2 linked regions of the Mus musculus genome follow. Each later gene encodes a partner of the first gene's protein in a complex. Links are inferred from orthologs where the notes say so. Each region holds a gene or a part of one and is shown in the gene's direction. Other genes may lie near its edges.

What was found.
Region 2: Nme5 (region 1) and Dydc1 share a complex: the UniProt entries of both Homo sapiens proteins name them as parts of the axonemal radial spoke complex. The link is inferred for Mus musculus from reciprocal best matches to the Homo sapiens genes NME5 and DYDC1.

Annotation. Positions count from the first base shown.
Region 1 is NC_000084.6:34,576,184-34,580,599, reverse strand, and holds the start of Nme5 (nucleoside diphosphate kinase homolog 5), read left to right. Parts: upstream 1-1,484; 5' UTR 1,485-1,523; exon of another isoform or gene 1,524-1,832; 5' UTR 1,833-1,913; coding exon 1,914-2,042; intron 2,043-4,416. Other genes in the region: Brd8dc (uncharacterized protein LOC271508), read left to right, coding at 356-406. UniProt on the Homo sapiens protein: Functions as part of axonemal radial spoke complexes that play an important part in the motility of sperm and cilia. Does not seem to have nucleoside diphosphate kinase (NDPK) activity.
Region 2 is NC_000080.6:41,086,365-41,090,013, forward strand, and holds part of Dydc1 (DPY30 domain-containing protein 1), read left to right. Parts: coding exon 1-49; intron 50-1,020; coding exon 1,021-1,125; intron 1,126-3,649. UniProt on the Homo sapiens protein: Functions as part of axonemal radial spoke complexes that play an important part in the motility of sperm and cilia. Plays a crucial role during acrosome biogenesis.

The DNA of each region.
Region 1 (4,416 bases):
ACACAGTGGGGTGAGGTTGTCTGGGAAGGCCAGCAGCAAGACGGCCGGAGAGGAGTTAGTTACGGTCAGGTCTGCTTTCAGAGGCCCGAGTCGTAAGGCTAGAAGCAAATCGGGTGCTGGACTCACTGACAATGTCTCATTTGTTGCAACTGTTGACATTAATGTACATGTATATTTCCCATAATTTGGAGAAGACAGAGTGAGTTCAAGGAGACTTGTAAGGATTTCTCTTTGGAAAGCATCAAATTTTAAAAGGTGTAGTTTTATCTGTTTGCCAATAAAATAAATACAATTGCATACACTTCCTCCTGGCCCTCAAGGTTCATGGTTTCCTGTCTGTGCATTGCTCCTGTAGGTTCTGAGTACTTGGCTGGATAAAAGGAAGGACTTGAGTAGTCTGGAATGAGTGCCAGCTAATGTGGTGGATGAAGAAAGGGGACTTTGTTAGCCTGGAACTACAAGTCTGGTTCTTTCTCAAGTTACAGCTCTTCTTAGGACTGGCCAGAGACGATGTGAAGACTTTCCCTCCCTCTCTCTCTATTCCCTTTCCAAATAAGGACAGTAATGCCTTGCCTCCTAACTAAGAAGCCAATGGTGCTTGCAGATGGAATATTTTTTAAAGGGGTGGGGTGTGGTGGGGTGGGGTACCAAGATCTGGATTTATGGTGTAAATATTGCTCATATTTTTGTTGCATAGACTTAGAAGTAATTTGATTGAACCTTTGTTTCTCTATAAATAAATATTTCGCAAACTAAAGATTTTGCTTGGTTTTTGAGTCAGAGAATCAAAACCTAGGCTTTCCTGTAAGTCCCCATTGCATCCAGCCTCTGCCTCCAATGGTGTGCTGGGATTAGGGGTTTCCACCACCAGACCACCAGGCCTTGCAAAGGCGGTTTCTAAACGGTTAAAGAAGCTGGAACTAGAGGGGATGGCATCACGTGGTGAAGCCCAGAAGGTGTTTGATGTGGCTCAGTGGTTAATTGCTTGCCTAGATTTGATCCTAAGCACCACCACCACAACCACCCAAAAAAAAAAAGAAAAAGAAAGAAAAAAAAAAAGAAAAAGAAAAGGAAGGAAAGAAAAAGTAAATAGCTGAGAGGTGTCTGATTTATCTCATTTACAGCGTGTGGATAAGGTACACATCCTTCAAGAAAGGAGGTCATCTAGAGAAGGTCTGGCGCTAAGGCTAAAAGGGTAAAGATGACCACTTGATTTCCATCCCTGGAAACCACAGAAACACGGGAAGGACTTCACAAAGTTGTTTTAACTCCACATCACATCACATCACATCACATCACATCACACACACTACACAGTAAATAAAATTGTTTTTAAAATTAGTGTGGGAAACGTTAGAAGTGTGTGTAGTACAAAAAGAATAAAATGTGCACGGCTAATTGTTGCCCTAGATTAAAACTAACTAGAGCCATTTAAAACGCGGCTGGAATTGGCCCTCTGCAGCCACCGTTAGGAAACCAGCTTTGGGTCTCTTAGCAACGGGCTTTGACAACACCTGAACAGAGTAAGTAAAGCTTGGGAGGGTCCTGCGTGGAGATTTCCCGAGGGCTCGGGGACTCATCTTTTCTGTCATGCTTAAGCCTGCACCAAGTGGCCCCTACGGGGTGGGGCCCCTTCACTAGGACAGCCGGCTAGGTGCCTTCCTTTACCCCTGAGAGCGACGCTGACCATCCGTCCTCCAACCTCAGTCAAGCGGCTAGGGCTCCCCTTGCGTGCAGTACAAGTCGGATTCTTGCAAAACTGCTCTCGTAGAAAAACATAGCAGTTTCCGTTTTTATAAATTAATCAAATCTAGCACCAAATTTTGCCACAGGCTGATTTTGGGACCAGGACTCCTGTCGTTGCTGTGGATAACTGGTTAGGAGATTTGAAAATTGTACCGGAAAACGCCAGAATGGAGGTATCAATGCCCCTGCCTCAGATATATGTAGAAAAAACCCTAGCCCTTATCAAGCCAGATGTTGTTGACAAAGAAGAGGAGATACAGGATATTATTCTGGGATCTGGATTCACCATTATTCAGGTAACGTCTGCTGTCTCTTTTATTCGTTTTCCGTTATTCCTATATAAATGTAGCCACCCGATTAGATCCTTAGTAACATTAAGTTTACATTTCTAAATATAAAGGTTATATATAACCTGGGCATGTGCTCCACACATGCCTGTGATCTCGGTATCAGGCGCTCGAGGCGGGTCAGCTATGTACTGACTTCCAAGTTTAGCCTGGGAGACCTGTCTCAAAAACAAACAAGATACAAGTAACAGACAAGTTTTTTCACACTTCAAAGGATGGAGAGTACGACATCAAAGAAGCCAACCGCCTTTCCTTCCCTTCCCTTCCCTTTCCCAAGTCAGCTCTAGGGAGGGGCAATGGCTTAGCTACATTCTTTCTCCTGGGTGTTTCTAACATTCTGGATCATTAAATGAGAACCTACTTATCCCTTCTAGGTTATGTGCAATATTCCTGTGCATATTTTGGTTCCTGGTGTCAGTAGGTTTATTTTTGTTTTGTTTTGTTTTTTTTCTTTTGGTTTTTGTTTTCAAGAAAAGATTTCTCCGTATAGCCCTGGCTGACTTGGAACTCACTAAGTAGCCTGGAACTCAGAGATCCCCCTGCCTCTTCCTCCCTTGTGCTGGAATTAAAGGTGAGCACCGCCACAGCCAGCGAACATTTAGAGTTAAAACCAATATTTGTTCTGTAGTTGGTAAACAAAGTCAAAGAAGTCAGGCCTCCCAGAAGACAGTGAGAGATTAGCTTGGACTTCATAGTGAGTCCTAGGCCATCCTGGGATACATGGATGCAGGCCTTGGAAGTAGTGACATATGATCCCAGCCCTAGACATGGTAGGACTGGAGGATCTGAGTTCCCAGTGATCTTGGGCTTCACAGAATTCTTTTTTTTTTTTTTTATGTATGTATGTGAGATGGTTGTGAGCCACCATATGGCTGTTGGGATTTGAACTCAGGACCTTCAGAAGAGCAGTCAGTGCTCTAACCCGCTGAGCCATCTTGCCAGCCCCTTCACAGAATTCTTAACTGTCCTCTAGTAGACAAGGTCTCCAACTAAAAGACAAGTTTATAAATAGATGAAATAGAGCTTAGTGTTTGTAATATTTTGTTTGAATTTTATTCGAACTATAATTTTAAGAGAATAAAACATTTTTATTCTCTTAACTGTATGAATATAGCTGAGTTTGGTGCTTTTTATCCCAGCACTGAGAAGCAGAGATGTATGTTTCTGTTGAGTTCAAGGCCAGTATGGTCTCTATAGCAAGTTGCTAGCCAGCCAGGGTAACATAGTGAGACTTTTATTTTTTTAAGATTTATTTATTTTATGTATATGAGGACATATACATAAAATGTAGCTGTACAGATGGATGTGAGCCATTATGTGGTTGTTGGGAATAGAATTTAGGACCTCTGTTCACTCAGTCTCTGTTTGCTCCAGCCCAAAGATTTATTTATTATTATAAATAGGTACACTGTAGCTGTCTTCAGACACACCAGAAGAGGGCGTCAGATCTCATTACGGGTGGTTGTGAGTCACCATGTGGTTGTTGGGATTTGAACTCAGGACCTTCGGAAGAGCAGTCTTACATGCTGAGCCATCTCAACAGCCTGAGACTGTCTTAAATTTTTTGTTGTTTGTTTTTTTGAGACAGGGTTTCTCTGTGTAGCCCTGGCTGTCCTGGAACTCACTCTGTAGATCAGGCTGGCCTCGAACTCAGAAATCTGCCTGTCTCTGCCTCTCAAGTGCTGGGATTAAAGTGGTGTGTGCCACCACTGCCTGGCTCCAGCTAAGTTTTTTTTTTTTTTTAATATTTTTTATTAGGTATTTTCCTCATTTACATTTCCAATGCTATCCCAAAAGTCCCCCATTCTCTCCCCCCAGCTAAATTTTTTATATAGTATCATATTATCTATTTTTCTAAGTGTTTTAAAATAAAAAACAAAAACAAAAACAAACTGGGGGCTGGAGAGATGGCTCAGTGGTAAGAGCACTGACTGCTCTTCCAGAGATCCTGAGTTCAATTCCCAGCAACCACATGGTGGCTCACAACCATCTGTAATGGGATCTGATGCCCTCTTCTGGTGTGTCTGAAAACAGCTACAGTGTACTGACATGTATAAAATAATTAAATCCTTAAAAATAAAGAAATGAATGAAAAAATAAAGAAAACAGAGTTGGAGTGGGGTTGTGGCCCAGCGTTTGCTGAGCAAGTACAGGGACATGAGCTTGAATCCCCAGCAAGCATGTAAAAGCCAGGTGTGACGGCAGCACCTGTGTGTAATCTCAGTGCTGGGGCAGCAGGGCAGGAGAGTCCTGGAGACACAGTGGCGAGCAACTGTGGCTGGCACCCAGTGCGGACTATAGCTCCACAATATGGCACCTGCAT
Region 2 (3,649 bases), on another chromosome or scaffold:
CATGGAGAGCACGGCTAGGGGTGAGGAGCAGGAGCCCATGCAGGCGGAGGTGAGAGGGGAGACCTACTGTGTGTCGTGGGACATGAACACATATCTTAGAACAGAATCTTACTTTTTGTATCAGTGGTGTCTTGGTTAGGGTTTTACTGTTGTGAACAGACACCATGACCAAGGCAACTATTATAAGGACAACATTTAATTGGGGCTGACTTACAGGTTCCAAGGTTCAGTCCATTAGCATCACGGTGGGTGTATGGCAGCATCCAGCCAGGCATGGTGCAGGAGGAGCTGAGAGTTCTATATCTTTATCTGAAAGCAGAATACTGGCTTCCAGGCAGTTAGAATGAAGGTCTCAAAGCCCATACCCACAGTGACACACCAAGTCCAACAAGGCTACACCTTCTAATAGTGCCTCTCCCCAGGTCAAGCATATACAAACCATCACAAGTGGCTAAAGTTTTAATAAGGGCACTGTCAATACCAGAATGGGCATGGTGGCATACATATGTGATCACAGTGCCTCAGGCTGGTAAGTTGTGATTCCTTCCAGGCATGCCTAAAGCTATATAGTGAGACCCTGCCTTAATAAAACAAAAGCAAAACCAAAAAACAAAAACAAACAAACAAACAAACAAAAAACCTATGGAAGTGACAGCCCAGATGGATATTTTGGTGATAAGGCACAGGTGTGCAGTGTCTTGAAACAAATTTCAAAGTGAATACAATTTGGACATTCTGTTTGTACTGGAATATTTTAAAGCTACAATGTCCTGTTATGTTGCCCATAGAATTGCTTACAAATTATGTGTATTAAAATTCCAAGTGGATTTAAAAATAGTTTTTAGTGCTTCATACTAGAATTCTCATACCATTAGCTGGCAGTAGTAGACGTGAATTCTACCAACTAAAAGTGATGAGTCTTAAGTGCTTAACTCAGAAATTTTATTTCAAAATTGAAAGAAAAGGGGCATGCTCATATTGAAGCCATGTGAAAGTAGAAACTGAATTTTGTGACTGTAGGAATTGGTGATGGACTCGGGTAAAACCCTAGCGGAGATCAGCGATCGGTACGGGGCGCCTAACTTGAGCCGGGTGGAAGAACTTGATGAGCCAATGTTATCTGATGTAAGTATCAAGATCCCAGGACAGATTGGTTTTTGTGTTGATAATGTCTAGTGTGTATGGGATTGGTTTGTAAATAATAGTTTCCTTTATGTTAAAAAGGCCAAAAGTGCAGGTGCTAATAATCAAAAAAAAATTTTTTTAAACCTTTATTTTATGTGTATGGATATTTTGCCAGTATGTCTCTATGTCTGTGTACCATACATCTGCAGTGCCAGTGGAGGCCAGAAGAGGGTGCCAGATCCCCTGGGAGAAGGTTCTGAGCTGTTCTATAGGTACTGGGATTCAAATCCAAGTCCTCTCCAACAGCCAGTGCTCTTAACTGCTGAGCCACTGCCCCAGCCCCGCTAACCAAATTCTTAACTGGTGTTCTGCCTGTGAAGGAGGCCCCACTGGCATAACTCTATTTACATGTATAGCTCTATATCTGTCTATGTTTCAATCAGTGGATAATAATCTGTATCTATATATTTTACAGTTGGAATTTGAAAGCATCAAAACTTCTTAGAAATACATGTGTAAGGGAGTGGGAGGGACTAGAATGTAAATAAATGAAAGAAATAATAATAATAATAATAATAATAATAATAATAATAATAATAAACAATAAAAACTACCAAGATCACAAAAAAGAAAAAAGAAATACATGTGCGCCGGGCGTGGTGGCACACGCCTTTAATCCCAGCACTGGGGAGGCAGAGGCAGGCACATTTCTGAGTTCGAGGCCAGCTTGGTCTACAAAGTGAGTGCCAGGACAGCCAGGGCTACACAGAGAAACTCTGTCTCGAAAAACCCAACCCCCCCCCCCAAAAAAAAGAAATACACGTGTGTAAAATAATTTTGTGAAATATGCAATCCTTAAATTCAATAGGGAAAGAACCGTTTTGGCTCTCTGGAACAAACTCTGTAAACACATACATAGTTTAGTGAGAACAAGTGTTTTTATAGTATATTATTGCACATGTGCATTTATCACGCATACTGTGATGTCCATGCCAGGCATTGTGCCAGACGTAGTGGGGAGTAAGGCAGCTTTTCACCTGCTCGAGTTTTCTGCTTAGAGGAGGAACGCGATCTGAACAGCACTAGGTGCTTATCAGGAGAATGACCAGGAAATCTACTATTTATACCCATGTGGTTTATGGCTGAAAGAAAGGTCTATGAATAACTGAATCAGATCATCAGGGGGAGTGTCTTGCCAGGAGCAAGAAGACACTTAGTTGTCAATTTGTGATACCTGGAATTGAATTTGAATCTCTCTCTCTCTCTCTCTCTCTCTCTCTCTCTCTCTCTCTCTCTCTCTTTCTTTCTTTCTTTCTTCTTGTTGTTGTTTTGAGACAGGATTTCTCTGTGTAGCCCTGGCTGTCCTGGAACTCATTCTATAGACCAGGCTGTCCTCGAACTCAGAAATACACCTGTCTCTGGCTCCCAAGTGCTGGGATTAAAGGCATGCACCACCACTGCCTGGCGAATTTGAATTTCTTCCACCAGATTAGCCGGTGGGGGCATTTTCTTGAATGCTAATTCATGTAGGAGAGCTACCGTGGGCTTGGGCTGAATAAGAAATTAGGAAAGTGAGGGAATCAGTTGGCAAGTCGTGGTCTTGTTAGGGTCTGAAAATTGCTGAAGGAAGACTCCAGATTCAAATAGTATGCAAAGACAAAGAGTGTTTATTCTGCAGAAATAACCAGTATGCATAGGGGTCAACCATTCACCAAAATGGCCAGTCCATAGGAGCTCCTGGCCCTTTTTAATGTAGGGCTAGAGGAATTTTCCAGAAGGATTAGGTAATTTCTAATGTGATTGGTAGGGCCAAAGTGGTGACATTAGTAGAATTTTGGTCGGCTGCTATGTTCTTCTATATTTGGTGAGACCTTAGAGAGTTGGTTAGGTAATCTAAGGTTTCATTGATGGGTGATGAGGATGCTCCATGGGTTGTTTTCTGATTGGCTTGTGCCAGGTGGTCTGTGGTCTGCATTTCTCTGTCATGAACGTTTAGCCACAGGATGAGATACCTAAACCATACAAGGCTGCCCAGCATAGATGGTCAACCTGAGATATTTCCCTGTTCTTGTGGTTATCTCCAGGCTGTCTTTGGATGGGGGAATTTTATGGAGCTGGTGACTTATAACCTAGTTCCTGAGACAGATAGATGTCTTTCCTTTTGAAGCCAGGCCTGGTCCTGAAATGGAGGTGACGCTGTTCTTTCAGTCTGGCCTGGTCTAGTCATCTATGGTTTTTGCTTCAGTTCTTGCCCCAGCTTCCCTCAGTGATGAGTTGTGACCTGGAAGTATAAGCAAGATGCTTCCTCCTCCTCCTTGCCACGTTGCTTTGGCTGTGGTGTTGGTCACAGCAACAGAAAGCAAGCAAGCTAGAACAGGCACGTCTTGTTACTTCATTCTGTGGGTACTGAGAGGGTGAGACATGATGAGGGTAGCAAGCTGAGGAAGGATCATTCTGGAAAGAAGTTAGGAGTCGGGAGAGGGAGTTCCAGGGAAGAATTACAGGTGGAAAACACAAGAGGGTT